Mus musculus: one gene and its partners. The protein of the gene in region 1 interacts with the protein of each later gene in a pairwise test. Links are inferred from orthologs where the notes say so. Each region holds a gene or a part of one and is shown in the gene's direction. Other genes may lie near its edges.

Region 1 (3,500 bases):
TAGACACTTGCACATCTATGCTTACTGCAGTGTACATGCGTGCATGTATGCATGCATGTCTTGAAAGTTGAAGCCAGACTGGGGGAATGAAAAACAGTGGGGAAGAAGAAAAGGAAAGATATGAAGATACAGAGGTGAGCATTGTCAGAATACATGATACACAAATGAATCTCATCACTGTTTAATGAATATATGCCAAGAACACTATCCATCTCAATGATTACTTCTAGGTTTTGGCCGACTTACACACTGGCATGTTCACCACTTAGCTATTGAGGTCATGCCTGGTTTCATGGAGAGCCAAGGTAAAGAATGGATTACTGTATATTTCATGGTCACTAGGAGAGGGTATATTGCCAGCAACTAAGACTATTACCCCTTTGAAGGTTGCTAATTTTCAATAAATTTGATGCCTTGGACAAATGAGCATGTACTTGGCCATGAGTGTTTTGTTTTAAAAGTGATATATTTTTTTAATAAATCTAAGGCACATACTGATTATTCCTGGTTATGGACCTATTCTGGATTTATAGTCTTCCCCCTTTTCCTGGATGTCTCAACTGACTACATCATTTGTGATCTACAGATCATTTTTGATTTTTAAATTTTCTTTTGGGGGTTTTTTAAAAATATTTTTAATATATGTCTCTTCCTGATTATTGTTTTTATCTAAACCTAGATATAAGTTAGGGAGAATAGTGCACACAAAACCCTAGCAATTAGAGGCTGATATATTAGTATACAAGATGGAAGCCAGCCTGGACTACATAAATCTCATAAATCTATTAAAATAAATTATATTGGCTTCATATAGATTCTTTTTTAAAAATTTATTTTTATATATGAGTACATTGTAGATGTCTTCAGATACACCAGTAGAGGGCATCAGATCCCATTACAGATAGTTGTGAGCCACCATGTGGTTGCTGGGAATTGAACTCAGAACCTCTGGAAGAACAGCCAGTGCTCTTAACTGCTGAGCCATCTCTCCAGCCCCTTCATATGAATTCTTAAAACCCTTACTGATTATTTAACCTTGAATGCATGCAGTCAACATAGTTCCCTTATTTTATATGTTTTCACGTTTGTGACATAGTAATATTCCTTGCATCAATTTTAAACAGGCTTGATGCTACTTACTGAATGAAACAGCTCAGTGGAGATGGTGACACAGGTATAAGGAGACAGCGTGTCCTACATGTCTGATCATAATCGTACTTTTACAATGTTCTTACAGATGAAATGCCAGCAATATAAGAAAAACCGAATGGAGCAAGAGGGGACCATTGCTTCTTTGCAAAAGGAGATCCACAGACTTGCCAAAGAGGAGGAAGAGCGCATCCTCACTCAGAACAGAGTGTTTGCCCATCTCTGCAGAAGAGTCCCTCACTCAGTCTTGGATAAACAGTAATGCCTAGTACATAAGACGATAATGGAGCTAGATGGATTGTTTTCAGCTAATTTTTTTCTTGAGGGTGGTTAGATCTTTTGCTATAGAAATCTCCTTTTCCCCTTTTTTTTCTAGTTCATCATTTTGTGTGTGTGTGTGTGTGTGTGTGTGTGTGTACACGTGCGCGTGCATATTTGTATTGTGCATGCATGTGTGTGTGAATATAATTTTAAGAGTATTTTGAGTAATTAATTTATTAAACTTTATATATACAGGTGTTGTGCCTGCATGTATTTATATGTACCACATGCCTGCAGTGACCAGAAAAGGATGTCAGACACCCCTGGAACTGGAGTTATAGACAGTTAGTTGTAGGCCATCTTGTGGGTGCTGGGGATAAAACCTTTGTCCTCTGAAAGAGCAACCAGTGCTCTTAGACTCTGAACCATCTCTCCAACTCCTTGAGGAATGGGTCTAGACATTTATTTTTAAAATATTAACTATGGATGGGTAGGTATAGTGGCACATGCCTTTAATTCCAGCACTTGGGAGGGAGAAGCAGATAGATAGATCGCTGAGTTCTAGACCTGCCAGGGCCATACAGTGAGAACCTATCTCAAAAAAGAAAATCCAAACTAAACAAAAAATACTTATCAGTTTTGTGTGTGTGCAAGTATGTGCACATACCTGAGTGTGTGTATGTGTGTGTGTGTGTGTCCATATGGTATGCTGGAATCAAACCCAGGTCCCAAGTAAGAGAAGCAAGTTCCCTTAACCATTGAGCCTTGGGCAGATATTTATGAGGGAGATTGCCAGAGATAGGATTGTTGGGACAGGAAGACTATGTATTTAATAAAGTGAAACATGCTTATAAATATAGTAATAGAAGATATATAGATATAGATCAGTGCAATACTTGTTTCTGGCAAGAATTACTGAAAAATTTTAAGTTTGCCAGACAATCCGTGCTAAAGATTTGATTTCGAGTAATGTGTATGTATGCATGTATGTGGGTATATGTGCTTCCAGAGCCATTGGAAACCTCCAGGGCTGGAGTTACAGTGGCTTTGCCCTACCCTATGTGTACTGAGAACTGAACTTGGGTCTTCTGCAAGAGTAGTATATACTTTAAAAAATGTTTAGGCCTGGAGGGGTGGCTCAGAGGTTGGGAGTACTCGGTACTCTTGCAGAGAACCAGGGTTCTATTCCCAGCACCCACGTGGTGTCTCACAGTTGCCTGTATCTCTAGCTCCAGGGGATTAGATGCCCTTCTTGGTCCTCCCTGGGCACTTGAACACAAGTTGTACATACACACATAAATAAATAAGTCTTAAAGAAAAAAGTTAAAATGTATTTTCTATGTATGAGTGTTTTGCCTATATGTATGTACCACATGTGAGCCTGTGCCTGTGGAGTCCAGAAGCAAGCATTGGATCCCTTAGAACTGGAGTTAGGGATGATTGTGAGTCACTGTGTAGGTTAGAAATTAAACCTCTGAAAGAGCAGCAAGTCTCTCTAGCCCTGCAGTATGCTCTCTTAACTGCTAAGCCATCTCTCCATCCCCAGTCTGTATTTTTATCTTTGTAATTTGAAATTATGTAGGAAGTTTGGTAAATACTACCTTTTGAAACTAACTGAACATATTTTTTGTTTTCTAGATTGCTGTGTCTAATTGATTACTATGAATGTAAACTTAGAAAACTTCATATACAAAGGTATAAATAATATAATTTTATTTTTATATTTATACATTAAGTTTCTGTTGTAATCGCAGAAGTTTGAAGCGCAGGGTAAATGAGGTGCTGTGCACTGCACTGTTAGCCACTTACGCGCTACAATTTTTCTTCAGTCTTTTTATTAAGACTTGGAAGTAGTATTAGGAATCAACAGTATGTGTACAGTGTGTTTTTAAAAAGACCAGGAAATGTTCCATTTATATTTTGTTTGTTCATTCAAGTATTTTTCATCCACTCTTGTGTCCCGTGACAAAGTTTTCTGGTCCTCACACATTCTAAGAGTTAGTAAACATACTGCTCTAAGATTAGATAGCTACTGTGATGTGATACTATTCTTTGTAGAACAAGTGGGAACCTGGGATTTCCATGTTTAA
Region 2 (4,182 bases), on another chromosome or scaffold:
GCTAAGATTAAAGGCATACGCCACCACTGGCTGGCCTGCAAAAGCACTTTAATGGTGCCATTTTCTTTCAGATCTACCTTTTTTTTAAAAGCTGTGTTAATAGATATCTGCAAATTTAGAATACTGTCAGCCGAAACTTTCCTATTCTATGTACACACTGATGTCCTTCATATCCATTATTTACTATTTCATGTTCCTAAAACCATCCCACTTACAGGGCTTCAGTCTGTCAATAGGTCTTGTTTACACCAAGTCCCATCACAGAACTAGTTGCATGTGGCTGGCAGAAAGTCACTATTCTCTCATTCAGATGGCTATGGATCCCTCCCCACATCTAGCTTTTCAGAACCAACCAGTATCCATCATCAGTTCCGTTGGAAAAGGCAAGCTCAACCGTTTTGAAACAGGAGGCAGGGAAGGTAAGGTGATAGGTGCTTCGCAGAGGGGAACAAGGAAGGGGTGGTAACAACTGCGTCAGAAACAGGTTCTGTGGAAGGTGTGCCGCATAACGTGGAAAGTACTGGAACCTTAGGGTGGGGACAGGGGCGCTAGCTGGGGTTCTAAGTAAAGTGTTATGCTGCAGGTGGCTGAGAGTTCACTGAAAAAGCATCCAAAGTGGCCAAAAACCTGAGGCCGATCAGGAGGTTGGCAGGGCTGAGCTGGGAGGGTGTGGTCCTTGTAGGCTCTCGCCCCCTCTAATCTGCCGCTAAGCTAGCTGCAGAACCGCTAGACAAGCTACCACATCTCACTCACTGGTCTGAGTGACAGACACTTCCTATGTCTAGTGTCTTACTGGTCAGTCGAGAAAAAAGAGGGTGGGACAAATAAGTATTCTCCTTCTGATTGGTCAACCCGCTGGTTCTTGTCAATTAGAGATGAACTGGGTTCTCCGCCATGTTGAATAGCGCGCTGCAAAGCCTGTTCTTTTCTTGGGATGGTCACCCAACACCCGGTCCTTCCTGTCCCTCTGTGCCCTAATATGTTGATCCAGCTAGTTAAAACGCGCTTTCTGCTTTAAGTCCGTATACCGCGAGAAGTTCTCGTTTAGGTAGTTAGACAGAAATAAAGCTAGAAACCAGAGAAAAGCTCAGTCCCTTGCCGGAGACCTGGGTGTCATTCAAGTGAATCAGTAATTGTTCCGGCGCTGGTGAGACTCCCATTGAGCAATTAGCTTGAAGATTGCGTTTTACTTTAGCTTGCTGTGGTAGTCGTTTGTGTAGCTTCAGACAGTTATGCTTCTAGAAACCGCAGGCTTGTATCAGAAACCATCATTAGACACTAGCTGGACTCGGGGTTCGCATTTGTGACAGTGAAAAAGGACGTTGCGTGCGTTATGGTCCGTCGCCACCTCCTGTAGCGTCCCTAGTAACCGAGCCCCTAGTAACCGCTCGCCCCAAGCCAGGATCTGTGAGCTAGGTGGCAGCGCCTGCACGCCGCCCTGGGCGGGCGCGGGCGCTTGGGCTTGGAGGCGGGGCGATGGCTTCGCCGCACCAGGAGGCCAGACTGGCGGCAGCCAGCCTTCTCCTGTCTGCAAATCCCATCACCGGAGCAAGGGTCGCCCAGTACGAAAGCGAAGACTCCTTAGAGTCCTTGGTAGCAGCGGGGTTGGCGGCGGCCATGGAGGAGGAGGAACAGAAGAAAGTGTGGCAGATGCGGGCGTCGGTAATGTGAGAGCCCGGAGGGGTCTGAGGGCTGTCCGATCGTCTCGGGCAGGACGGGTGGAAATGCGGTGTCCTCTGTAGACCCTCCCTGCTCTCTGCCCCAACTAAAGGTTGCTGCAAAACTTTATTGGAGAGTGGTTTTTTTATAGCTATTTCTAGAGTATGCAAAGAACAGAACTCTACTTCCTATTTATTCTCCAGTATATCTTGGGAATAAATAATTTTTTAGTTCTGATTTTTACATTTATTTTTGCCCCCCCCCCCCCCGAAGACAACTGATGTGCCCATAGTTTTCATAAAAGATCAACTTTCAGATGATAAGTTGTACTGACAAGTGTGTTTTATCAGTTTTTGTTAGGAGTGGATTTTAGCAGTCCATTAGCAAACCGTGTTTGAAGTTCAGTGGACAGATGCTCCAGATGTAGAGAAGCATCCAGATAAACAAACCGCCGAAATCCCAGTTCCCTAAAGGGATGATATGGGTGCAGTGAGATCTTTTCACAAAACATTTTCAGTATTATGTCCTGGATGTGTTATATGTTTCTAGCAGAAGGATATATATGGAGGAGGAGATTATACACACACACACATAATCTCTACCTCTGGAAAAGCAACCAGTACTTATAACCACTAAGCCATCTCTCCAGCAATGCTTTTATTCTTTAAAAATTTCATACAGTATATTTTGAATGTAACCACCCCCTCTCCTTCATCTGTTCTATTCATTTTGTGTGTTTGTTTTTAGATTTATGTGTATGAATGTGTGCCTTGGGAGTTACTGAGAGTTGTGAGCTACCATATGGATGCTGGGAATCAAGCCCAGGTCCCCTGCAAGAGCAGCAAGTGCTCTTAACAGTTAAAACATCTTAGCATCCTTTTAAATTTTTGTTTGTTTTCTGAGACATAGCCTGGCTGTTCTGGAACTCACTCTGTGTAGTCCAGGCTGGCCTCAAACACACAGAGCTCTGCCTACCTCTGCTTCCTGAGTTTAAAGGTGTGTAATAAAAACGCCCAGCTTTTATTCACTTTAAAAGCCGGGAACCTTGGACTTAAACCAGCACTCTGCTGGGATAAAGCACCAGGACGGGCACTCGCTCCCTCGACACCCTGTTCCTTAGCAGTGCTGGGGTGGGCCGAAGGGTTTGTGCTTGCTAGGCAAGTGGTGTACCAACAGCTACATCCTCGGCTTTTTTGTTTTATTTTAGACAGTGACTCCTTTGGTCCAGGATTGCCTCAAATTTGCTATTTGTGGCTAAGGATGACCTTAAACTCCTGATCCTCCTGCCTCCACCTTCCAAGTAATGGGATTAAGCGTATGGGGCCCCAGGCCTGGCCTGTAGCAAATGTTTCAAGGTTATGTAGAGTGAAGCAGAGCCTAACCAGCTATGAGGTTCAGAACCCTAGGACTGGTTTATACCTGATAATCATTCAACACAGCCTGTCATAGGTTACAGAAGGTGAAATGCCAGGGAAGGCAAGAGCTTGGACCCGGGTCAGAAGCCGTTTTCTTCTATGTGCTGGGTGATCTTAGGCCGTGATTTCTGTTTCTTTGTCTATAAAAGGACTATAATTGTCTCCGTTTTCCACCTTATTCAGTTGTTATTAAGAACCAAAGGAGAGAATGGGTGTCATTTCTAGAGTAATTTACATAAATTAGTAGTAATTGTAACAACTGCCAGCTTGAACAATTCACTTGGAAATTGATTTATACTTTGGCTTACTACGGCAGAAAGGTCTGTCCTTTGTATAGTTGTACTTATGTTCCAGAGTGCCCTGCTAACTGAAGATTTTTGTTATAAACTGAGTTTGGGTTTCCAACACCCAAATACAAACCCAGTGTGTTGGCTTTTGTCTATAATCCCAGTGCTGGAGAGAGAAGAAACAGGCAGATTCCTGGAATTTGCTGAAAGCCCTACCTCAAAAAATAAAGTGGACAGTGGCTAGGGAATTCAGCTAAGATTGGATGTTAGCCTGGAACCCCTGCTTATCCCCTGCACAAGCTGGGGAACTACATCTGCCCTCCTGCCAACCCCACCCACCTAAAGAAATCTCCACTGTCTGCTTGGAGAATACTCAAGCTAACATGTCAGCGCTCCTTGTCTCTGAGTTTCAGACAGCCTGCCCAAGAGTGCCCATTTGGGGGCTCAGTTTTTGACCATGCATGGACACAATCCCAGCTCCTAGCTAGCATGGCAGCACTCCCAACCTAAACTCTACAAGATCCCCTTGCTTTGGCCTGGATCTCTCACACCTGTGAGATCAGTGAGCCCACCTGAGAGCAGCCTCCTAATAAACCTGCCTTTATCTACTTCTAATCTGGTCTAATCTGGTCTGTATCTGTGTCACTGAGGGGACAAAAAGCCTGTCACTGACCTCTGGTGTACACACACACACACACATTCTCTCTCTCTCTCTCTCTCTCTCTCTCTCTCGCACACACACACACACACACATACACATTCTCTCTCTCACACACACATTCTCTCTCTCTCACACACACACACATTCTCTCTCTCACACA
Region 3 (3,996 bases), on another chromosome or scaffold:
CTAAGCCTGGCAGTGGTGGTGCATGTCTTTAATCCCCAACACTAGAGGCAGCCACAGGCGCATCTTTGTTGAGTTTGAGGCCAACCTGGTCTACAGACTGAGTTCCAGGACAGCCAGCACTACACAGAGAAACCCTGTCTCAAAAACAAAAACAAAACAACAGCAAAGATACTATTTTTTAAAGAAAAAAGTAAAAAGAGTTGGGCACAGTGTCTCTTATTTGTAAACCCAGCACTTGGGAGTCAGAGGGAGGGGAGGACTACTGAGTTTTCAAGGTCAGCCTGGATTACGTGGTGAGTTCCTCTCTCATAAAAGAAGAAACGCACCGGGTGGTGGTGGCACAGGCCTTTAATCCCAGCACTTGGGAGGCAGAGGCAGGCAGGTTTCTGAGTTCGAGACCAGCCTGGTCTATAAAGTGAGTTCCAGAACAGCCAGGACCACACAGAGAAACCCTGTCTCGAAAAAAAAAAAAAAAAAAAAGGAGAAGAAAGAAGAAACGCACGCGCGCACGCACACACCACCACCACCACCAACAAAACACAATGAAAACCAGGCAGGTCACTGATTCCAGGCTTGCAGTAAGATTGTTTCAAATTTAAGGCCAAGCTGGACTGCAGAGTCTGCTCCAGGCCAGCCTGGGCATCTTAGTGAGAGGCTACCTCCCAGCATTAGAGCGCTGGGTGGTGTTTTCTGTGGTAGAGTGCCTGCCTGGCATATGCAAAGACCCTGGATTCCATCCCCAGCAGCAGAAATAAAGAAACTTAAGAAGAAGGAACACCAGAACGGGACATGGTGGCCTTTAATTATTTGGTCCCAGAACTCACAAGCAGGAGGATCTCCTTTAGTTTGTGACCACCCTGAGCTACATAGTGAGTTACAGGACAGCCAGGGACACACAGTGAGACTCTGACTCAAAAAAACAAACAGCATTGTTGATCAGAGTTAGGAGAGAAAATGTTATTATCCCAGGCAGCTTTCTCCATCCTTTCAGTGTGCTAGATAAGCGCACACAGGATCCACATGTCCCGGAACCTTTATTTCGGGTTTCAACTACCGGCACCCGGAAGGGAACGGAAGCGCACTCCCGACTCGGATCGACAAAGATTGCAGCCAATGAGAACGATGAAGCGGGTAGGCACCAACCAGTGAGCCGGCTTAGGAAGTGGCGACACTGAGGCGCTGAATCGGAGAAACTCCCCGTAGACTGAGGACCGCTTCTTCGCTTGTTCGCTGGACAGGAAGCGAAAATGTCGGAACGGAAAGTTTTAAACGTAAGTGCTCAGAGTCTAAATGTTCCTACAGAGGGTGAAGTGTGCGAGGGCTCCGGGCGAGGCGTGCTTCCTTCCGGTCATTTCCTTTTGCAAGCCCCTCTCGCGCACACGCACGCACACGCACGCGCGTCTTCCAGTCGGGCGGGAGCTTTCCAAACTCTTGCCAATCACATTTTTGGGGGCGGTCGTTAGCTTCCCCCTCTCCCCGCCCCCCCCCCCCCAGCTTCGTGAGTAACCAATCATCACCAGGGAAGCGGAGCTTCTGTCACTTTACCCAATTGGGGGCAGGACTGCTTCTTTGTGGGTTTTCCCCAGATCAGATCAGGGGATGTTGTTGGTCACCTCAGTTCTTCCCGGCTTTTGTTGAATTAATATCCGAAACCTTTTGCAGAGATGTCTACATCATGTTGGGGTTTCTGGGGTGACTCAGTCTCCACTCTTGGAAAATTTTGCTCTCCATTTCCTGGATCTGTTTTTTAAATGTTTGCTTTGGGTTAAGGTTTCACTGTACACAGAAGGCCCAGAATGGCCTCGAACTCACAGACCAAAAGTTTGTACACCTAAGATGGGCTATATTCACTTTTTAAAGGATTAGTTTTATTTTCACTTTATGTTTTTCCTTCATGTCTGTCTGTGCAGCACGTTTGTGTGCACTGCCCAGGCTGACTGTAAACTCACAGTTCTGCATCAGCCTCCTGAGTGCTGGTATGACAGTTGTACACCATCATTCCCGTCTACCGCCTGAATTAGCAAAGCTTCCTCTCTCGTGAGCCTGGTTGCCAGTAGGTGTCAAAAGCAGAGCCTCCTTGTTGGTGGTCCACATAGCTTCTTTTTGGGGGAGAGGGGAGTTGTCTCTCTTCAGCCCCCTGTCTCAAATTCCCGGGTGCTGGGTTTGGACATTGGCATGCCAGTAACCCAGAGTGGTTGTCCCTGTGCGCCTCACCCCAGCCTCCCAAGCACACAGAGAGGCCAGAGCCTGTTCTCCCCAAGGAGATTCACTGGCCAGATTTTGCCCTGGGATGGTGCCCTGCAGCCTGTGTGGTACCCTAGTGCAGGTTAGGCCACCATTGACAAGGTCTGATTTATGTCGGGCCTCCATTTCCTCATGAGTGTCTAGAATCTTATCATGTGATAGGCAGCAGGGGTCCACCCTTACTGCAAACCCTGGGCCTCTAGAACCTTCCCTAGAAGGCATGTCACAGCGTAGGAAAGTGACCCACCACACTATATAATTTGTGTTGGAAGCTTGTGCACTCCTCCCTGTCCCAACTTCTCTTCTCATGACTGTGCTTCAAACAGCTCATGTCTGGAAAGGCTCCAGCAAGCTGAATCCTGAGCAGATAGATCCCTTAAACCAGAGTATCCTGCGTCTGCTAACATGGCTCTCAGACCCCATTCCTGCCCGTATGGGACCTGAGCACCAGAAAACAGCAACGCCCTCTTCTCCACAGAAATACTACCCACCTGACTTTGACCCATCGAAGATCCCGAAACTCAAGCTACCCAAGGACCGGCAGTATGTGGTGCGTCTGATGGCCCCCTTCAACATGAGGTGAATCCCTGGGGACATGAGGCTGGAGGCTGATTCTCTGGAGAAACAACAAACAAAGATAATAGTTCCCACCCTCACAGAGTCCCCAACCCCTATCTCAGTAGAAAATCAGAGTGACACTTGGCCCTGCAGGATTTTGGACCCTCTAGTGGCAGCCCTCCTCCTGCCCAGGGCCTTTGCACCACCTATGGCATCTGCCTGCAGATCTCTTGTAGCCAGCTTCTCTGACAGAGCCTGTCTCCCATCTCATCCCAGGCAGGCTGCCAGCCTCCTCTTAGACCTTCACCCCCACTTTCCTGGGTTCAACCAGCTTTGAACCAGACAGTTATTCACACTTGACTGTGTGTGAGAATCACAATCCTGTAAGTCACACCTGTACAGTCACTGAGGATGGAGAAGCTGTCCGTGTGACTAATTGATTATATCTTGTCTTCATTTCTTTGTTTGCTCCTGTCTTAGACACTGTGAACATGGGAGCTCTTAGAAGAGAAAGCATCTAATTGGAGTTTGCTTACAGTTTCAGAGGGTTAGTCCATTGTCACCATGGTGGGGAACATGGCAGTCATGGTGCTTGAGAAGTAGTTGGAGACTACATCCTGATCTGCAGGCAGAAAGAGAGAAACACCAGATGTGCTGTGGGTTTCTGAAACCTCATAACTCACCCCTAGTGACACTTCTCCAGCAAGGCCACACCTCCTAATCATCTTCCTCCTCCCGACCCCCCAAGACTCCTCGGTGACTAAGCATTCAAATCTATGACTCTTAGGGACCATTCTCATCCACACCACCGCACTCCTCTGCAGGCAGTTGTCAGGCACGTATCATTGATGGGGCGAGGGGAGCCTCCTGACCCTCAGAGGCTGGTGGGGAGTGGGAGTCATACCCATCCTCTGTAGTAACACAAGGACACATGAGGCAGGCAGGGCAGGTGGTCTGCCAGCCGGACAGTCAGGGAAGTGTTAGAATCTCAGGCTGCCAGGACAGCAGAGAAAAGGCCCTGAGGTAGGACTAAGCCAGAGGTGTTTGTAGGTACAGCAGTAAACCAGGACAGGAAGTGGGGGGAGCAGCCAGGGTCAGGATTCTGCTGTCCCCTTGGCAGTTCTCAGAAGCTCCATACACCCAGTCCCTCCTACCTATAAGGTACATATGCTGCCACTGGGTGCTAGAGCAGAG
Region 4 (4,066 bases), on another chromosome or scaffold:
TTTAAAAAACATTTCTCTACAGAGTGAGTTCCAGGACAGCCAGGGCTACACAGAGAAACCCTGTCTCGAAAAACAAAAAAAAAAAAAAAACAAAAAACAAAAAACAAAAAAAATTCAAATAATACATTTGCAAAGATAGCCATATGGAAAAGATAGTCTCCAAAATATCCTTATCAAACTATCATCTCTTCACAGTAGGACTATGAGTGGTTAGTTTATTCTAAAGTTTTTAAACCCAGGCATGTTGGTGTAATCCCAGCACTTGGGAAGTAAAAGCAGAGAGATCAATACTTCAAGGCCAGCCTCGGACACACTGCAAATTTGAGGGCAATGAGGGGTATATGAGATACTGTCTCTAAAACAGAAAAGGGAATAAAAATTTTAAAGCTCAGTTATTTTAAAGTAATAATACACGGTCTTCACTAACACCTAAAACTTAAACCTAATTTCTTCCCCCTAAAACTTCCCATGACCTAGCTATTAGAAGTATCAATGCAAATTAAATATGGCACATGGCAGTAAATCACAGGACAAAGGTGGGAGAATTCGAGGCCAACCTACGAGAACAAAGAAGGTACCAATGTTAAGATTCTGACACTTTCCCAGCACGCAGTTTGGGGTTTCAACGTGTGCCATCTCTTCCTTTAGTCCCGTGTGTGCACCCCTCCCCATCGGCCCTGTGTGATAGGTTACTTCTCCTCCGATGTTGGTGAAATGAATCAATTTAAACCAGAGTAGATGATGTTAAAGGCAGGTTTATTGGGAAGCTGCCAGCCGGTGGGTGAGTTCACTGGCCCCAAGGACCAAGGCCAGCGAAGTTTCCTGGGAAAGGAAGGAAGAAAGAGAGAAGGGGGAATGTGTGCAGAGAGAGAAAAGGAGAAGGAGACCAAAATGTCTGGATTCTATAGAAAGGAGCCCTATAGAAAGGGAAGGGCAGCCCAGCCCCTGGGCTGGAAAGTTCAGGGTTGGGGGCAAGGTATGCCAGGTGGGAACTGAGGGATGCAGAACCTGGAGGCCAGTTCTGCTTTGATAGGTAAAGTATACACCTCAGCCTCTTGACCTAGGGTCAGAAACTGAGCACTGTCTTCTTAGCGATTGGCCTATTGCATAGATGAGACCATGCCAGACCTGCTGGTTACTTTAAAATTTAAACCAGGTCTACGTCTGGTTAGGACTGGAAATTGCTTGAACCAAATCCAAAGGTTAAAAATCACTAAGTCCAAGTGCTAGGTCAGGAAAAGGCCCTGAGGCCCGACTACAGATTGCTTTGAAGGCCCAGCACCCCCAATCGAAAGCCAGCCATCACTGGTCCTGTGGTAGTAGCTATGCCTTTTCGTAAAGAGCGCGGACGCGGCGCCGCGCTGAATTTCGTCCCTCTGGAGACGCCGTCCAGGCGCCCGCCTCGGTCAAGTCACGTGATCGAGGTTTGCGGTGAAGGAGGAAGTGTTTTGCTGCGGGGTCCTGGCCTGGGGCGGACAGCCTGCGGGATGGAGGCGACTTTGGAGCAGCATTTGGAGGACACGTGAGTAGTGCGTGCGGCCGGTCCTGGGCTCCGGACAGGGGAGCTGGAATGGGACAGCGGCATGGACCGCGAGTGTCTGCGGAAGCGTTTGGGGCACTCGGGGCGGCGAGCGGGTGACTTCTGCCTACGGCCGGGCCGCTCGTTACTGGGTAGTAAAGTTTCGTTAGGCGTGTTCGCAGAATCGAGTAGCTCTTGAGAAGTTTGGGAAACGGATTAAGTTTGGGGAAGGATGCCCCGGGTGTGCTAAATCGAGCCCCCGCAGTGCCAAAGCACTTTCACGCACATCTTCCCGCGTTTGTGGCCCGTCAGTTGCTCAGCGCTTGTGAAGTAAATATATCCGTAAAGTTTTTCAGCTATCTCTGTAAAATTTAAAATTGGGAGGTGTAAAGTGGCTTACAAGAAGACACCTCCTCCTTGAGCTTCTTAATCCCCTCCAGGAGCAATTCCCGTTACTGAGATTTAACAGTTGTCTTCAGGAGTTGCAGTCCTAGAGCATGCTTCTATACCAAGGACAGAGCCCTAAAGATAACTGCCTTGTTTGTGTCTTTGTGAAGCAGAGGTGCCTGAGAAAATGGTTTGGGTTTTGTTTTGTTTATTTAAACAACTCACAGTTTGTCCTCTGAAAGGGGGCGAAAAAATTTAAGGGCTGATTTGAAGTGCTTAATACTCGGTGCATAGAAAATCTGTTTTACTACAGTAATTTGAAATATTTTCTTCACATCATCTGGTTCATCTTTCTTGTGCTCCCAAAATTAGAATGAAGAATCCATCCATTGTTGGAGTCCTATGCACAGATTCACAAGGACTTAATCTGGGCTGTAAGTGTCTCCTACCAGCCTCCCTTTGAAGTTCTGAGAGCCTTAACTTACACTGCTACTATTTTCTAGCTTTTATTCCTGTTACCTTTAGGGCATAGAGACTATCTCCAAGTAAGAGTAGATGGTTGAAGCCTTTCAGTTGCATTTTAAAGGCAGAAATGTTCCTCCCAGTTCTACAACTGTTCCTACTAAAATGGTTTTGAATAAATTTTAAGTGGTCTAGAAAAGGGCTTTAGATAAGGACATCTTTACTGAATGCATTCCCTGTGCAGGCACAGTCAGGCTACACTATTTCCTTAATTGCCTCAATAACCCTGAAAATGGATGATGCTGGCTGCTAGTCCAGCCACTCTCAACAGTAAGTTATTGTCAGTAAAAATAGGGATTTCCTAGTTAGACACGTCTGACTTCAACCCCATTCTCCGATGCTGTCTGCTAGCAACATGAGTGCCGAACAGAAGGAGCCTCTTGGGGCTTCAGTTTCTTCATTGGGTTATTTTATTTCATACATACATTATGTGTGTGTTGTCTTAAGACATTTTTTTTTAAAAACTTATTCTACGTGGCCCTGGCTGTCCTGGAACAAACTTTGTAGACCATGCTGGCCTGTAACTCACAGAGATCTGCCTGCCTCTATCCCTTGAATGCTGGGAACAAAGGTGTGCATCACCATGCCCAGCCAGGCACTATTCTTAGTGTTTTCATTATAAAACGTACATAACCCCCCTTCCTGCCCCCCCCCCCCCACCAAAGCCCTTTATGGTCAAGAAATTTAGCAAGCTTAAAAGTACCTTGCCCAGGGTCAAACACCTAATGAATGGTTGAGATAGGATGTTTTTAAAGCTGGCTCCAAAGCTTAAAACACCCAGTACAGAACCAAGATGTGTTTGTGTGGTGTTCAATAAATTGTAGCAATTACAGATAAGGAACTAAGTCCAGAAAGGTAAATAGCTAAAGTTAATTAATGTCAGAAACTAGTAAACCCAAGAATCCTTATAACTGATGCAGGTTTTTTAGAGCTCTGATCTTTTGCTGGTATGATACCTGACAAAAGTAATATAGTTATGTCTTATACAAAAAGCAGCCATTTGGAACAAAGGTAAATTTTTTTGAAGCATTTGCCAAGTTACTAATGAAAACTCTTTAAATGCAAATGTGGAGGAAAAAAAAAAACTAAGTAAAACCTTCAAGGTGCGAAGTTGCTATTTCCAATAGATTTCCGGGCTGCACTTTGGCCTACGGATTTTTTATGTAGTAATAGTCAATCCAGAATTTCTGCCAGGTTATATTGTCTACTACCTTAGTTTTAGGTGTAAGTAAACCCCTTTATTTCAGGGATCTATAATAAGCTTGGTGGTTACCTTTTGTGCCTAGAGCCTGATTTAGTTAATACAAGTCAAAGTAATAGTAAAGACTCGGGGGACATTTGAAAGGAGCCCAGCTAGCTTCTGCTAGCAGAAATAGTTGCTCACAGGTCTTCACATATGCTGGCAAGGTGATCTTACAACTGGACTTCTGAGTAATGGCTGCTTCTTTGAGATTGAGCATAGGAAGAGAAACTCAGATTTCCCATAAGGAATTAATTAGCATCAACAAGCCCCTTATCCATACTGAATGCTTTTTGTCACTCTCGCCTTTGAATTTCTTGGTTTCAGCAAGGTTCCTATAAAATAGTTACTACCATCAGATGACTTGAATTACAGCTTCCTTATATGCTTGAGAAGGT
Region 5 (4,219 bases), on another chromosome or scaffold:
AGCCTTAGTACACACCTTTAATCCCAATGAAGGTAAACTTAGTTAGAAAGAAGCACCCATGTTTGAAAGTGATTTCCAGTGACTCAGGGAGATTTGACAGAATAGGATATGCCTATCTCTCATGAGAACAGAGAGGAAAGAAGTGACTTAGGGGAAAGAATAGGAGAGGGCAGTTTACTGGGACCATTGTACAGAGACAGGTTGCAGAGAAAGAACAAACTAGCCAGGTGAAGACAGAACGAGCCAGAAAATGAGCCAGAGATTAGAACATAATACCAAAGGTCGTATGAGGCCAAGCAGAGCAATTCGGGGGAAGCTGGAAGAAGCCAATTTGAATCATTCAGTGTGGAGGAGTCTGAGCCAGAATAGCTGAGTTGACCACCCAGCTAGATAGAGTTCAGAAGAGCATTAAAGGGTGAGCTTATTCAGCAATAGGTCTCAGAGGTTGAAAACATTCTAGGCCAAGATAAGATTGTATGGAGGCTAGAAGCTTCCAGGACAAGGCCTGGGTTAGCAGACAGAGGCGGTAAGCTTCAGAAATGACAATTACATCAGGCAAATAAAGGATACGTTTCCACTTTATTGTGCAGCTCCCCTTGGGACCATCCATTCATCCCGAGTATGATCTTGTTCTGAGGAATCTGTCCCAACTGTGTCCTCTAAAGCCAGGCCATGACCTCAGGGCTCATACCAAGAGCCTCACAAGCTGTGGCAGGTACTCAACGTGTTCAGGATGAAGACATAAAAATGAGGCTGTCTTGGTCTATTTGGGATGCTAGAGAGTTCCAGGATGGGTATTTTTTCAGACTAGGGATGAAACCCAAGACCATCATGTTAAGCAAGTGATCTGTCATTAAGATGTAGCTCAGTTTCTGTTCATTTTGAGGCGCAGCCTCAGTAAATTGCCCAGTAAAGCTTCACCTGCAGAGAACACAGATCGCTCTGGTTTAGGGATGCTTTGGCTTTCATGTCACATACGCATATTCTGTCACCCAGAGCATGGAAGAGTGAATCCATGTTTCTTTGGTGACTTTATCTGTCCCTCTGTTCCGTGAAGGTTTGCCATTATTTAACTTAGTTTCAACAGTGACCCGGGACCTTTGGAGTTAGCATTCTTGGCTTTCCAGAAAGCAAGGGGCCGGCCCCTCCTGGTGTCACTAAGGTTTTGTAGTGTCCCCTTCCACCGAGATTCCTTCACACGAGAGTTATCAGGTGGGATAGCACAGCCGCCTTTTTGAGGAGCTATTGCGCAGGCGCACGTGGCACTAGGATGAAGGATGCGCCAGAGAAGCCCTGAACGCCCTTTAGAAAGAGGATCTTGATTGATAAGGCCCTCGGATACGCAGTGCGCAGGCGCACGGGCACGTTAGCGAGAGCGCAGGCGCGCGCGGGGGCGCGAGAGTGACGTCACGGCGTGCGTCCGGAGTGCTGCGGGAAGTCCGACTAGAGACCGCGGGTACTGAAGGCTGTGCAGTGGCTCCAGCGCCATGTTCGGCTCCAATCGCGGTGGCGTGCGTGGCGGACAAGACCAGTTCAATTGGGAGGACGTGAAGACTGACAAGCAGAGGGAGAACTACTTGGGCAACTCGCTGATGGCGCCAGTAGGCCGCTGGCAGAAGGGCCGCGACCTCACCTGGTACGCGAAGGACCGCGCGCCGTGTACCGGCCCGAGCCGTGAGGAAGAGCTGGCAGCCGTGCGCGAGGCGGAGCGTGAGGCGCTGCTGGCCGCACTGTAAGTGCCTGGTCTGCGGGGCGACCGCAAGCCCCGAGGGCGGGATCTGGGTGGCCCTGGGGCGGGGCTGGATGTGGGCGGGGCACAGGAAAGAAGGGGACCGAGGGGCCAGACCCTTGATGAGCATTCCTGACCTTTGCTCGCAGTGGTTACAAGAACGTGAGGAAACAGCCCACCGGCCTGAGCAAGGAGGTGAGTCTGAGATATGGGTTCGAGGTCCGCGGGGTGGTTGGGGGGGGGTGGGGGGGTCCGTCTGTCTCGGCCTAGAACCTCCTATCTTACCCTGCTTTCGCAGGACTTCGTGGAGATCTGCAAACGGGAAGGAGGAGACCCCGAGGAGAAGGGCGTGGACCGGCTCCTGGGCTTGGGCAGCGCCAGGTTAGGCTAGTTGGGGAGTCCAGGGTAGGCCTGGGCGGTGATTGAGAACTGTCCTCAAATGCTCTGTCCCCTGCAGTGGCTCCGCGGGCCGTGTGGCGCTATCCCGAGAAGACAAAGAGGCTGCCAAACTTGGGCTGTCAGTGTTCACGGTAAACCCTGTCAAGCCCAATGCACAGGATCCTGGGGTTTAGAGGTGTCTGAGATGTGGGGCAGGATTCCCTGGGTGTTCCTCACCACGGCTACTCATGTCATACAGCACCACCGTGTGGACAGCGAAGGCCCAAGCACTGCCCCAACTGCTCCCAGGAAGAAGCCTCGCGCTGAGGACAAGGTCGAACCGGAGTAAGTTGAGTCTGCCTCCCTGTGCATAAAGGGGCAGACTGCCTTAGCTCTCTTAGTTTGACTGAAGTAGGCGGACCTCCATCTCTGGGCTGGAGTCTCAGTAGCTGCCATAGGTGACCCAGCAGGGTGACGCTCAGGACCATGATACTGGCCAGTTTGGTGGGAGGTGCTTGTGGGGTGGGCGGCACACAACTTTCTTTAATCCCAGCATTTGGTAGACAGCAGGCTGATCTCTCAGAGTTCTCACAAGCTGGTACGTGTGTCTGGTTACTTCTACTTTTGTGTCATCTCAACTTTGTACCTAGGTAAAATAGTGAGTTCCAAGCTAGACAAGGCTGCATAATGAGAACTTGTCTCCAAGGAGAGAGGAGGCTCACCAGGTTGGCAGCATTCCAGCACTCATCTTTGTGGCCATGGAGCCTAATAAGCTCATTTATAAATATGAACTCCCGACATGTAGATATTATCAGTGCACAATGGATCCTGTTCTAGTCTGCCTTTCCCTGCTGGGTGAGACTACCCCACAGTCGAGTAGACACGAGTCCTTCAAGCTCGGATCCTTTGTATTGTTTCTTGCAGTGCAGAGAGCCATAAGAAAAGCAAGAAAGAAAAGAAGAAAAAGAAGAAGAAACACAAGAAACACAAAAAGAAGAAAGACAAAGAACATAAGAGGGAGGCTGACAGCTGCTCCTCATCTCCCTCTCCTCCCCGGTAGGCTAGGCCCAACTCTACCTGGGACACTAAGGAAATGGGAGGCAAAGCTAGCCAGGCCTGGTGTGGTGCTTGGCAGGGTGAGGGACCCTTTAAGTGTCTGGTTGTCCTTGTCTTTGTAGGCCCAGACACCAGAGACATTCTGACTTCTCTCCCTGCTCTAAGAGGAAGCGGGAACATAGCCAGGACAGTGGAAGGAATCCATCCCGCAGACGACAAGACAGAAGCTCTGATGACTGAGAATGGCTACACCAAAGGACACCAGAGCCCTGGATGCCAAGTAGCTACCAGCCCACTCCCTACCTGCCCAACTAACTGTCCCTCTGTGGCTGGGATAAGGCAGGTGGCTGCTCCCCAACAGGATCCTGAGCCAAGCTTGCTGGATCTTAGGATCTATCTTGCCATTTGGAGGCAACTACTCCAGGTCATAGAGTGGGTCCTGGGTTACCAGTCTAGTGGTTCTAAGAGGGTAGTGCTCTTGCCTTGTCCCCCTGCCAAGGAGGATCTAACTGCCCAGGAGACTGTCTCTGCTGCCACAGGCCAGGCCCTTGAGGTTAGGGTGCGTGTTACTGATTACTCCTTTTTTGTGTGTGTATCAGCCCACTTTGTACTTAAGTAAATGTATTTTAAAAGTAGAGTGTATATTATCTCGCTGAGGACAGGTTAGGCTGGGAGCATGGGGCCCCCTTCCAGTATATATTAAGGGAACTGGGTCTAGGGACCAGAATCCTGTCCTTGAGGCTGCCTTACAACCATACAAGTGGCCAAGAAGTTGGAAGAACAAACTTTTGTGATCTGAAGGCATCTGCTGTCTCCCTAAGAGGTTCAACAGCCAGATAATAGCAAGACAGTAGAAATTAGGGCTGCTACAGTATAGAAAGTTCTGATTGTAAAAGCTATTGTGCTGTGAATGCATACTTCTGGGCAGACCCCAAAATGTCCTGAGACTCATGCTGTTGCTTCTATGAAGACCTGTGCCCTGCAGGTAGCCACCTAAGCATGAGAGAAGACTAATTATCTAAGACCTCAAGGGGGTGAAGGTCAGTCCACTTAGGC
Region 6 (3,500 bases), on another chromosome or scaffold:
CTAGAGGAGAGGGGAGGTGGGGGAGGGGAACTCGGAGGAGAGGTGAGAGGGGAAACTGTGGTTGGTCTGTAATATATGAGAGAAGAATTAACAACAACAACAACAAAGAGATAGCTTCTTCCTTCTCTTCTTAAAACCTAGTTTTGTTGGAGTTAGCATTAATTCTCCTACATTATTATTTCTTAATCTATAGGATCAGGGTATAGATTCTAAATATGCCCACTAAATCAAAATTATTGTTCAACTTGCCTATATACTTTTTACTTTTTCTGCTAGAACTATTATTGATTGGGACATATGTCAACTTTCTGTCCTGATGGCGCCATTTACAGTTCCCTTGCTTTGCTATTCACTTGGAATATTATCCTCATCTTTAGCAATAAATGCATGCAATTCCTTACTAAAAAAGTTGCCTTTTCTAGACGACTGTTCTGGGTCTAGGCCCTACCAAAATGTTATTATCAATGAAAACTGACACTATGTGACTACATAGAACAAACGAGCTCAAGTTTTGACAAGTGATCTTAGCAGTGACTTGGCCCTTTTGACATTTACGTCTGGATGGGAGTGAAGGAGTATAGTAAGTCCTTTTAGACTTTGATGTCTCCATTAGGAAGTTCTCCTATCCATAACTTGAGAGTATATGAGTGGCCATAAATTTTTAGAAAACGTTGTCTTTCTGTGTTTATGCCTCTATTGTTTTTCTTTATTCTGTTTTTCAAAATATGATGTTATCATTTGCCCTAAACTGTTATTGCTTAATGCATTGCATAGGAAAGCATTACTTTTCATTCCATATAGTCCCTTTTGAATCCCTAGGGAATATTTTATCTCGTAATATGCAAACAGCCATGGTGGCAGAGGTGAAGCAAAAGGCAGGTTTATTTGCTAAGATATTAAAGACATGGTTAATCTATTATGAGGTCTTCTTTGACCTATGAGTTAATTAGAAGTGTCTGGCAAATTTTCAGACAGTATTGAGATTAGAATTAACCTTTAAAATTAACTTCTTATTTAATGTCCTTGAACTCAAATACAATTTTTAATTTGTTAAAACTTAGGCCTTTTAATTTATTGAGACTTTTCTAGTACATGATTAGTTCTTGTGTGTGTGTGTGTGTAATATTCCAAGTGTGCTTAAGAAGAATACTTTCAGCTCAATATATAGTTTTTATATGCCATTTAAATCAAGTTTCTTTTCATGCTCAACTTGTTTATACATTTACTAATTAATTTGGTTTTAATTTTTTGAGACAGGCTGTCATGTAAACTAGGTTGACCTTAAACCTTCTGTGGAGCAAAGAAAGCCCTGAATTGTGATCTTCCTGTGTGTGCCTCCAGAGTGCTCGGGGCGGGGTTTACAGGTGTGAGCCAGCTGTTAACTTTGCTGTTAAGCTGCTGGCATCGAACCCAGGGCTTCAGACTCCAACCCATCTTTCCCTTCATTCTCCTTTATCAACAAATGCACTCATAGGGTTAGAGAGATGATGCTGAATAAGAATGCCTATTACTCTCCCAGAGTTATGTTCTCCTAGTTATGTTCTCGGCACCCATGGGATTGGCTTACAACTGCCCAGAACTCCAGCTCTGTGAGATCTGGTGCCCTCTTTTGGTATCATACCCCTTGTATCTGCATGCACGTGATATATACACACACACACACAGACACTTTAAAACAACACTCATTTAAATAAGGCAGAAATCCATATCCTCTGTGAAAATCCTCACATGTAAATAGCATTCTCTTTTTTTTTTGTCTCTTTCTCTCCTCCCTCCCCTGTCTATGTATGACAGAATTAGATACTTCTGTAAGTTTCCATAGATCTAATTTAAAATTTCTTGATAGCACTTGCACAAAGTACTGTGTTCATGTGTAAGTTTCTGGAACTCAGCGACTGTGGTTTATTCATCTCGGTGTCCCCAGTGCTTTCACAGAGTGGTGCTCAACAAATGCTAATTTAATGGGAGAAGCTGTTCTCAAGTGCAGAGGTAGTGCCTGTTATTTGGGAGGTAGCGGGGGTGGTAGAATCTTTTGAAGCATTATTAGGAAGATGACTAAATTCCAGGAACACATGAACAAGTCAGGGATGGAGAATTCAGCTTAAACTGGCAGCCCCCTTAAATCTAGAGACCACCTACCTGACTATCTGAGTTAATAGAATTGAGAGTTGAGAACACTTACAATAATAAAAGTTGGATGATGATGAGGGCGGCCTTCTTGGAGGGAGAGTTTGACTTAGCTGCCTTATAATCCTTCCTGACTAAGATGCTTATTCTGAATGACCCAGCCACTTTCCAGAGTCATGAGTAATTTTTTGAAAAAATAAAAATCATTCTAGGCCAGGGGTTCAAATGTGAAAGTAGAAATAATGAATCGCAAACTTTTTTTTTTTCTACTTTGTCTCTTTAGCTTTAACTCAAGAAGAAGGTAGCCTGGGGGGGGGAAATGTTCTAGGGCTGGGCAGTGACTCTGCAGTTAATAATCTTCATGACATTAACTGCTTTTTTATTTTAGACACATCTGGTCACTCTTCTTGCCCAGGTTGCTTTGAAGGAAGAGGAGGAGCCTAAAGCCACCATGTCGGAGATACTAGACCTCTCTTTTCTGTCCGAGATGGAAAGGGATTTGATCCTCGGTGTTCTGCAGAGAGATGAAGAACTCAGAAAAGCAGATGAGAAAAGGATTCGGTAAGGGGCCCAGAAATACTAAGCCCTTGCAGGCTTTCAACCAAGGAGACTCAAGCTTTTCAGTTGTTTCTTCATTCATTGTCGGCATCGAGTAAATGATTTAAAGCTGCGTAGGACTGCTGGGCTCTGCATTTGTTGCTTGTACAGAACACAGTGGTCTTACTGGCATCCTCTCCACTTCTGTACATCCTGAACCCACTTGTGCTTCTCTTTCCTGTCTTGGCAGGCGACTGAAGAATGAGCTCCTGGAGATCAAAAGAAAAGGGGCCAAAAGGGGCAGCCAACACTATAGTGATCGAACCTGTGCCAGGTGCCAGGAGGGCCTGGGCCGCTTAATTCCCAAAAGCAGCACTTGTGTGGGCTGCAATCATTTAGTGTGCCGAGAATGCCGAGTTCTGGAAAGCAATGGCTCTTGGAGGTGCAAGGTGTGCTCGAAGGAGATGTGAGTATCACTTCGTGGCAGCATAAAGAGGGGGACATATGTCGGGCTGCCCTGAGACTTTCTCTCATCAATTTTGTTAGTTGAGTGACAAGAGTCATTGTTTCTACAGGTCTTACTTAAGGTTTCTATTGCTGTGACAAAATACCATGACCAAAAAGCAAATTTGGGAGAAAAGGAGTTTATTTGGCTTACACTTCCAGGTTGCTGTTCATTATTGAAGGAAGTTGGGGCAGGAACTCTCCAACAGGGCGAGAACCTGGAGGCAGGTGCTGAAGCAGAGGCCATGCAGGGGCGCTGATAACTGGCTTGCTTTCCATGGCTTGCTCAGCCTGCTTTCCTGTAGAAGCCAGGAAGGATCACCTGCCCAGGG
Region 7 (3,500 bases), on another chromosome or scaffold:
GGAAGCTTCTGAAAGCCTGATAAGGCAGTAATGTGGGCGGAAGGTTTGGCTCCCTCATAAGGTCAGTGCAAATGTTGGACAATAGGTGTAGACTTTAGGCTCTCTTAAGTACCAGTCTCTAGCTCAAGTTACCAAACACCTCTTAGCTTTGTTTGCACAACGTAAACAGACTCTGCACACAGGCTTCCTGGTTTGAATTCTTCATACATTAGTTGTGTGACTTAGTCTAGCTGGTGTGTGTGTGTGTGTGTGTGTGTGTGTGTGTGTAAGGGGGGGAGAGGGAGAGAGAGAGAGAGAGAGAGAATGAGCATGGGTAGGAAGGGTGGAAGACAGCCCATGGAAGTCAGTTTTCTCCTTCCACTAAGTACTTAAGTAGGTCTCTAGGACTAAACATCGGTTTTGACAGGAGGCTCCCTTACCCACTGAGACATCTTTCTGGCCGTAGCTTCTTTTAGTCCAGGACTCAAGGATAACGAATGTGCCACTGAGGTTTTTCCACTTCAGCTAACTTAAACAGGCTAATCTCTCATAGACCTGTTCAGAGGCTAACTAAATTAGTCTATAGGTGCAACTGGAGGCTTGCCATCCAGGTAATTCCTGCCATGTTGACAGTAATACCAACCATATTACTGTCACCACCTAAGCTATTTAAGGCTCAGCTTCCTTTGTCACCTGAGTAGGGTGGCAAGATTGAATGAAAGTTTTCACGTTCGTAAGGCTTCAGTGTAGCTTATGCCACACATCTAGGTATCAGTATTAACACTACCCCTCCTTCATCCTGATTCCTGTTGGGTCTTGGCCCCTTTGACCAGAGAGAGGACTCTCCAAAGAACAGTCGTCCTCCTGGTGTCTCTCAGGACTCAAGAAGAATTCAAGGCTGGAGAGATGGTTCAGTTAAGAGCACTTACTGCTCTTGCAGAGGGCCTGGATCCAGTTCCCAGCACCCACATGGCAGCTCACAACTGTAACTGGTTCCTGCATGCATGTAAGGCATATACATACACTTGGACATACACAGAAACTTTTGTTTGTTTGTTTGTTTTTTTAACAAAAGAAACGTCTTACACAAACAGCTTTATGTATTTTAGGCACAGACAGGGTCTTAAGCATTCTGGTCCTGAGCTCCAAACTCAATCAACCTTGGAGTCCCGAGCCTTCGGGGGCCACTTCCCCAGAGTTGGAATTACAGGCATGCAGTACCACACCTAGTTACACAATGCTGGGGATTGAACCCAGGACCTCACACATGTTAGGCAAGCATTCTACCTCCTAAGGCATACTAAGGACAGCCCTAGCCCACACTACCACCCCTTCCTTTCTTTTTTACTTATTTAGGGTCTCATATAGCACAGGCTGGCTTCAACCATCTCTGTATAGTTGTAGATGATATGAACTTCTGATCCTCTTGCCTCCACATTCCATCTGCTGGGATTACGCGTGTGGGCCAGCATGCCTTATTTTACATGATGCTGGGGTTGAAGCCTGGGGCTTTGCGTGTGCTAGTGAAGCACCCTGCTATCTAAGGTGCACCTCCAGTCCTTTCTTTCCCTATTCAGAGGATAGTGCCATGTTTTCCCTGGTGAGAACCTGAGGACAGACCCTGCCATGAGTGTCACCCCAGAGGTCAAGAGCCGTGGGATGAAGTTTGCTGAAGAGCAGCTGCTGAAGCATGGATGGACTCAAGGTGTTCTTCCATATCCTCCCGCTCCCTACTCTCTGCTGCCCCATGCCAGTTCAGCCAGAGGGGACACTAGTCTAAAGAGAACCTTTAGAAGCATACGTTTTCTGACCCATCTGGATTAGGGAAGAATGGGCGAAATCCTCATTTTGGATAACGAGGGATGAGGGGCAAGTGGTTGGACAAACTAGAGGAGGCCACAAGGGGATAGAAAAGATAGTTCTCCCTCAGACGGGTTCCTGAGTAAGCCTAGAAGGAATGGAGAGAGGTAGGTTTCTGAAAGGTTCAGAGTGTACTCTGTGATCAGTAAAGGAATGGCGGTTAGCCCAGGAAGACTTGGTGAGGGCTCAGGTCAGGCTACAAAATAAGTCACTCACTCTCCTCTACAGGCAAGGGCCTGGGCCGGAGGGAGAATGGCATTACCCAGGCCCTCAAGGTGACACTGAAGCAAGATAACCATGGGGTAAGACTGGGAGGTGGTCAGCATGAATGGGAGAGGGGACCCATGAGGGCCAGTGGGCGGTGCTCAGACTGTGACTTCTACTTACTGTTCACATGGAGGTGGGACATGACCCTGCCAAGGAATTTACAGACCACTGGTGGAGTGATCTCTTCAACAAGACTGCCGCCAGCTTGGTAGTGGACTCGGGGAAGGTATGAACTTGTCGGGTATATTGAAGAAACCTGCAGGCCTGGGGTGGGGTAGGGCACTACAGCACGCCACTCTCTCACCGATATTTCCCAACAGGATGGAGTGCAGATAAGACGTCTTTCCAAGGAGACCACCCAGCGCAGTCACCCCAAACCCAGCTTGCTGTATCAGAAGTTTGTGAAGGTAATAGAGTGAGAGATCCAGCTCTCAACTGCTCCCGTCTGTCTCCCTGGGTCCTGATCAACTGCATTGTGTGTCCAACTAATTCCCAGGATACCCCAGTACACCGAGATCCCGTGCCCAGCCTTGCTGTGCCCGTGCCCTCACCCAGACTGAAATGTTAAGGTTCATGGACAATCCCATCTGCTGGGGAAGCAGCAGCGTACAGTGAGAGGGAGGGCTGTCATTTAGTTAGGAGCTGCTGGGGTGGGATATGTTGATGTATAATTTTAAAAGAGTTAGAAGCCAGGAGAGTCCTGTGAGGTTGCCTGGTCCACCCTTATTTTACATATGTGAACCAAAGAGTAAAAATGGTTTTCAGAAGAGCCCACAGCTGATGAATAAAGGCAAAAAGAACAGAAGCCGGCAGTTAGTAGCACAGATTCTGTGTGCAGGGCTTCACACAGCATCCCCTCCCAGTTTCTACATCTTGACATCTACTCGGTTCGGGCAGTCCTTGCCTCTTTAAGAGCCTCTGCCTCTATCCTCACTCTCCACCACAGTCAGTGACCTTCAAAGCATCCATAGGGTTCTCTCTAAAACACATCGTATTATGTAATAAGAACTTCAGTTTCTTTGAAAAACACAGAAATATGGACATATGTTTTTGTTTTCATCTCAGGTGTGGGATATGGGGGGCTGCTTCAGATTGCAGTCAGCAGCTGACTATGATTTGCCTCATGCTTTAGCAAGGGTGTGGTTTTGCCAGCATCAAGTAGTTTCTTCGATTCTGTGATGTTTGGAATTCTGGGGATTTTTCAGAGGGTATATAAATGCTAGGCCCCAGAGGAAGGGTGTTGTGGGTTGTTATTGTGGTTGGTTAAGTAGTCATACACAAAGAAGGAAAAAGGAATCAGATGCCCTGTCAGTGAAGGTCAAACTTGCCTCAAGGAATCCCATGCTTTAACAATAACATTACTTCCTTTTCTTTCTATTCTTTATCTTCTCTTC

What was found.
Region 2: the proteins of Cep70 (region 1) and Fam161a interact in binary tests that used the Homo sapiens proteins (3 or more experiments, as listed by UniProt). The two-hybrid records come from large-scale screens. The link is inferred for Mus musculus from reciprocal best matches to the Homo sapiens genes CEP70 and FAM161A.
Region 3: the proteins of Cep70 (region 1) and Yju2 interact in a two-hybrid assay, tested with the Homo sapiens proteins (2 studies listed by BioGRID and IntAct). The two-hybrid records come from large-scale screens. The link is inferred for Mus musculus from reciprocal best matches to the Homo sapiens genes CEP70 and YJU2.
Region 4: the proteins of Cep70 (region 1) and Lamtor5 interact in binary tests that used the Homo sapiens proteins (3 or more experiments, as listed by UniProt). The two-hybrid records come from large-scale screens. The link is inferred for Mus musculus from reciprocal best matches to the Homo sapiens genes CEP70 and LAMTOR5.
Region 5: the proteins of Cep70 (region 1) and 2310033P09Rik interact in binary tests that used the Homo sapiens proteins (3 or more experiments, as listed by UniProt). The two-hybrid records come from large-scale screens. The link is inferred for Mus musculus from reciprocal best matches to the Homo sapiens genes CEP70 and C1orf35.
Region 6: the proteins of Cep70 (region 1) and Sytl4 interact in binary tests that used the Homo sapiens proteins (3 or more experiments, as listed by UniProt). The two-hybrid records come from large-scale screens. The link is inferred for Mus musculus from reciprocal best matches to the Homo sapiens genes CEP70 and SYTL4.
Region 7: the proteins of Cep70 (region 1) and Gpatch4 interact in binary tests that used the Homo sapiens proteins (3 or more experiments, as listed by UniProt). The two-hybrid records come from large-scale screens. The link is inferred for Mus musculus from reciprocal best matches to the Homo sapiens genes CEP70 and GPATCH4.

The regions. Positions count from the first base shown.
Region 1 is NC_000075.6:99,274,341-99,277,840, forward strand, and holds part of Cep70 (centrosomal protein of 70 kDa), read left to right. Parts: exon of another isoform or gene 1-305; intron 306-1,237; coding exon 1,238-1,407; exon of another isoform or gene 1,408-1,417; intron 1,418-3,048; coding exon 3,049-3,105; intron 3,106-3,500.
Region 2 is NC_000077.6:23,006,965-23,011,146, forward strand, and holds the start of Fam161a (protein FAM161A), read left to right. Parts: upstream 1-1,382; 5' UTR 1,383-1,476; coding exon of another isoform or gene 1,477-1,662; exon of another isoform or gene 1,663-1,667; intron 1,668-4,182. UniProt on the Homo sapiens protein: Involved in ciliogenesis.
Region 3 is NC_000083.6:55,957,991-55,961,986, forward strand, and holds the start of Yju2 (splicing factor YJU2), read left to right. Parts: upstream 1-1,196; 5' UTR 1,197-1,247; coding exon 1,248-1,271; exon of another isoform or gene 1,272-1,411; intron 1,412-2,722; coding exon 2,723-2,823; intron 2,824-3,996.
Region 4 is NC_000069.6:107,277,592-107,281,657, forward strand, and holds the start of Lamtor5 (ragulator complex protein LAMTOR5), read left to right. Parts: upstream 1-1,266; 5' UTR 1,267-1,325; coding exon 1,326-1,522; intron 1,523-2,278; coding exon 2,279-2,340; intron 2,341-4,066. UniProt on the Homo sapiens protein: As part of the Ragulator complex it is involved in amino acid sensing and activation of mTORC1, a signaling complex promoting cell growth in response to growth factors, energy levels, and amino acids.
Region 5 is NC_000077.6:59,206,942-59,211,160, forward strand, and holds 2310033P09Rik (multiple myeloma tumor-associated protein 2 homolog), read left to right. Parts: upstream 1-1,419; 5' UTR 1,420-1,487; coding exon 1,488-1,732; intron 1,733-1,878; coding exon 1,879-1,924; intron 1,925-2,027; coding exon 2,028-2,110; intron 2,111-2,186; coding exon 2,187-2,259; intron 2,260-2,366; coding exon 2,367-2,452; intron 2,453-3,031; coding exon 3,032-3,163; intron 3,164-3,285; coding exon 3,286-3,403; 3' UTR 3,404-3,795; downstream 3,796-4,219.
Region 6 is NC_000086.7:133,961,313-133,964,812, reverse strand, and holds part of Sytl4 (synaptotagmin-like protein 4), read left to right. Parts: intron 1-2,515; 5' UTR 2,516-2,578; coding exon 2,579-2,688; intron 2,689-2,914; coding exon 2,915-3,130; intron 3,131-3,500. UniProt on the Homo sapiens protein: Modulates exocytosis of dense-core granules and secretion of hormones in the pancreas and the pituitary. Interacts with vesicles containing negatively charged phospholipids in a Ca(2+)-independent manner.
Region 7 is NC_000069.6:88,049,606-88,053,105, forward strand, and holds part of Gpatch4 (G patch domain-containing protein 4), read left to right. Parts: intron 1-1,556; 5' UTR 1,557-1,605; coding exon 1,606-1,684; intron 1,685-2,067; coding exon 2,068-2,141; intron 2,142-2,239; coding exon 2,240-2,332; intron 2,333-2,426; coding exon 2,427-2,513; intron 2,514-3,500.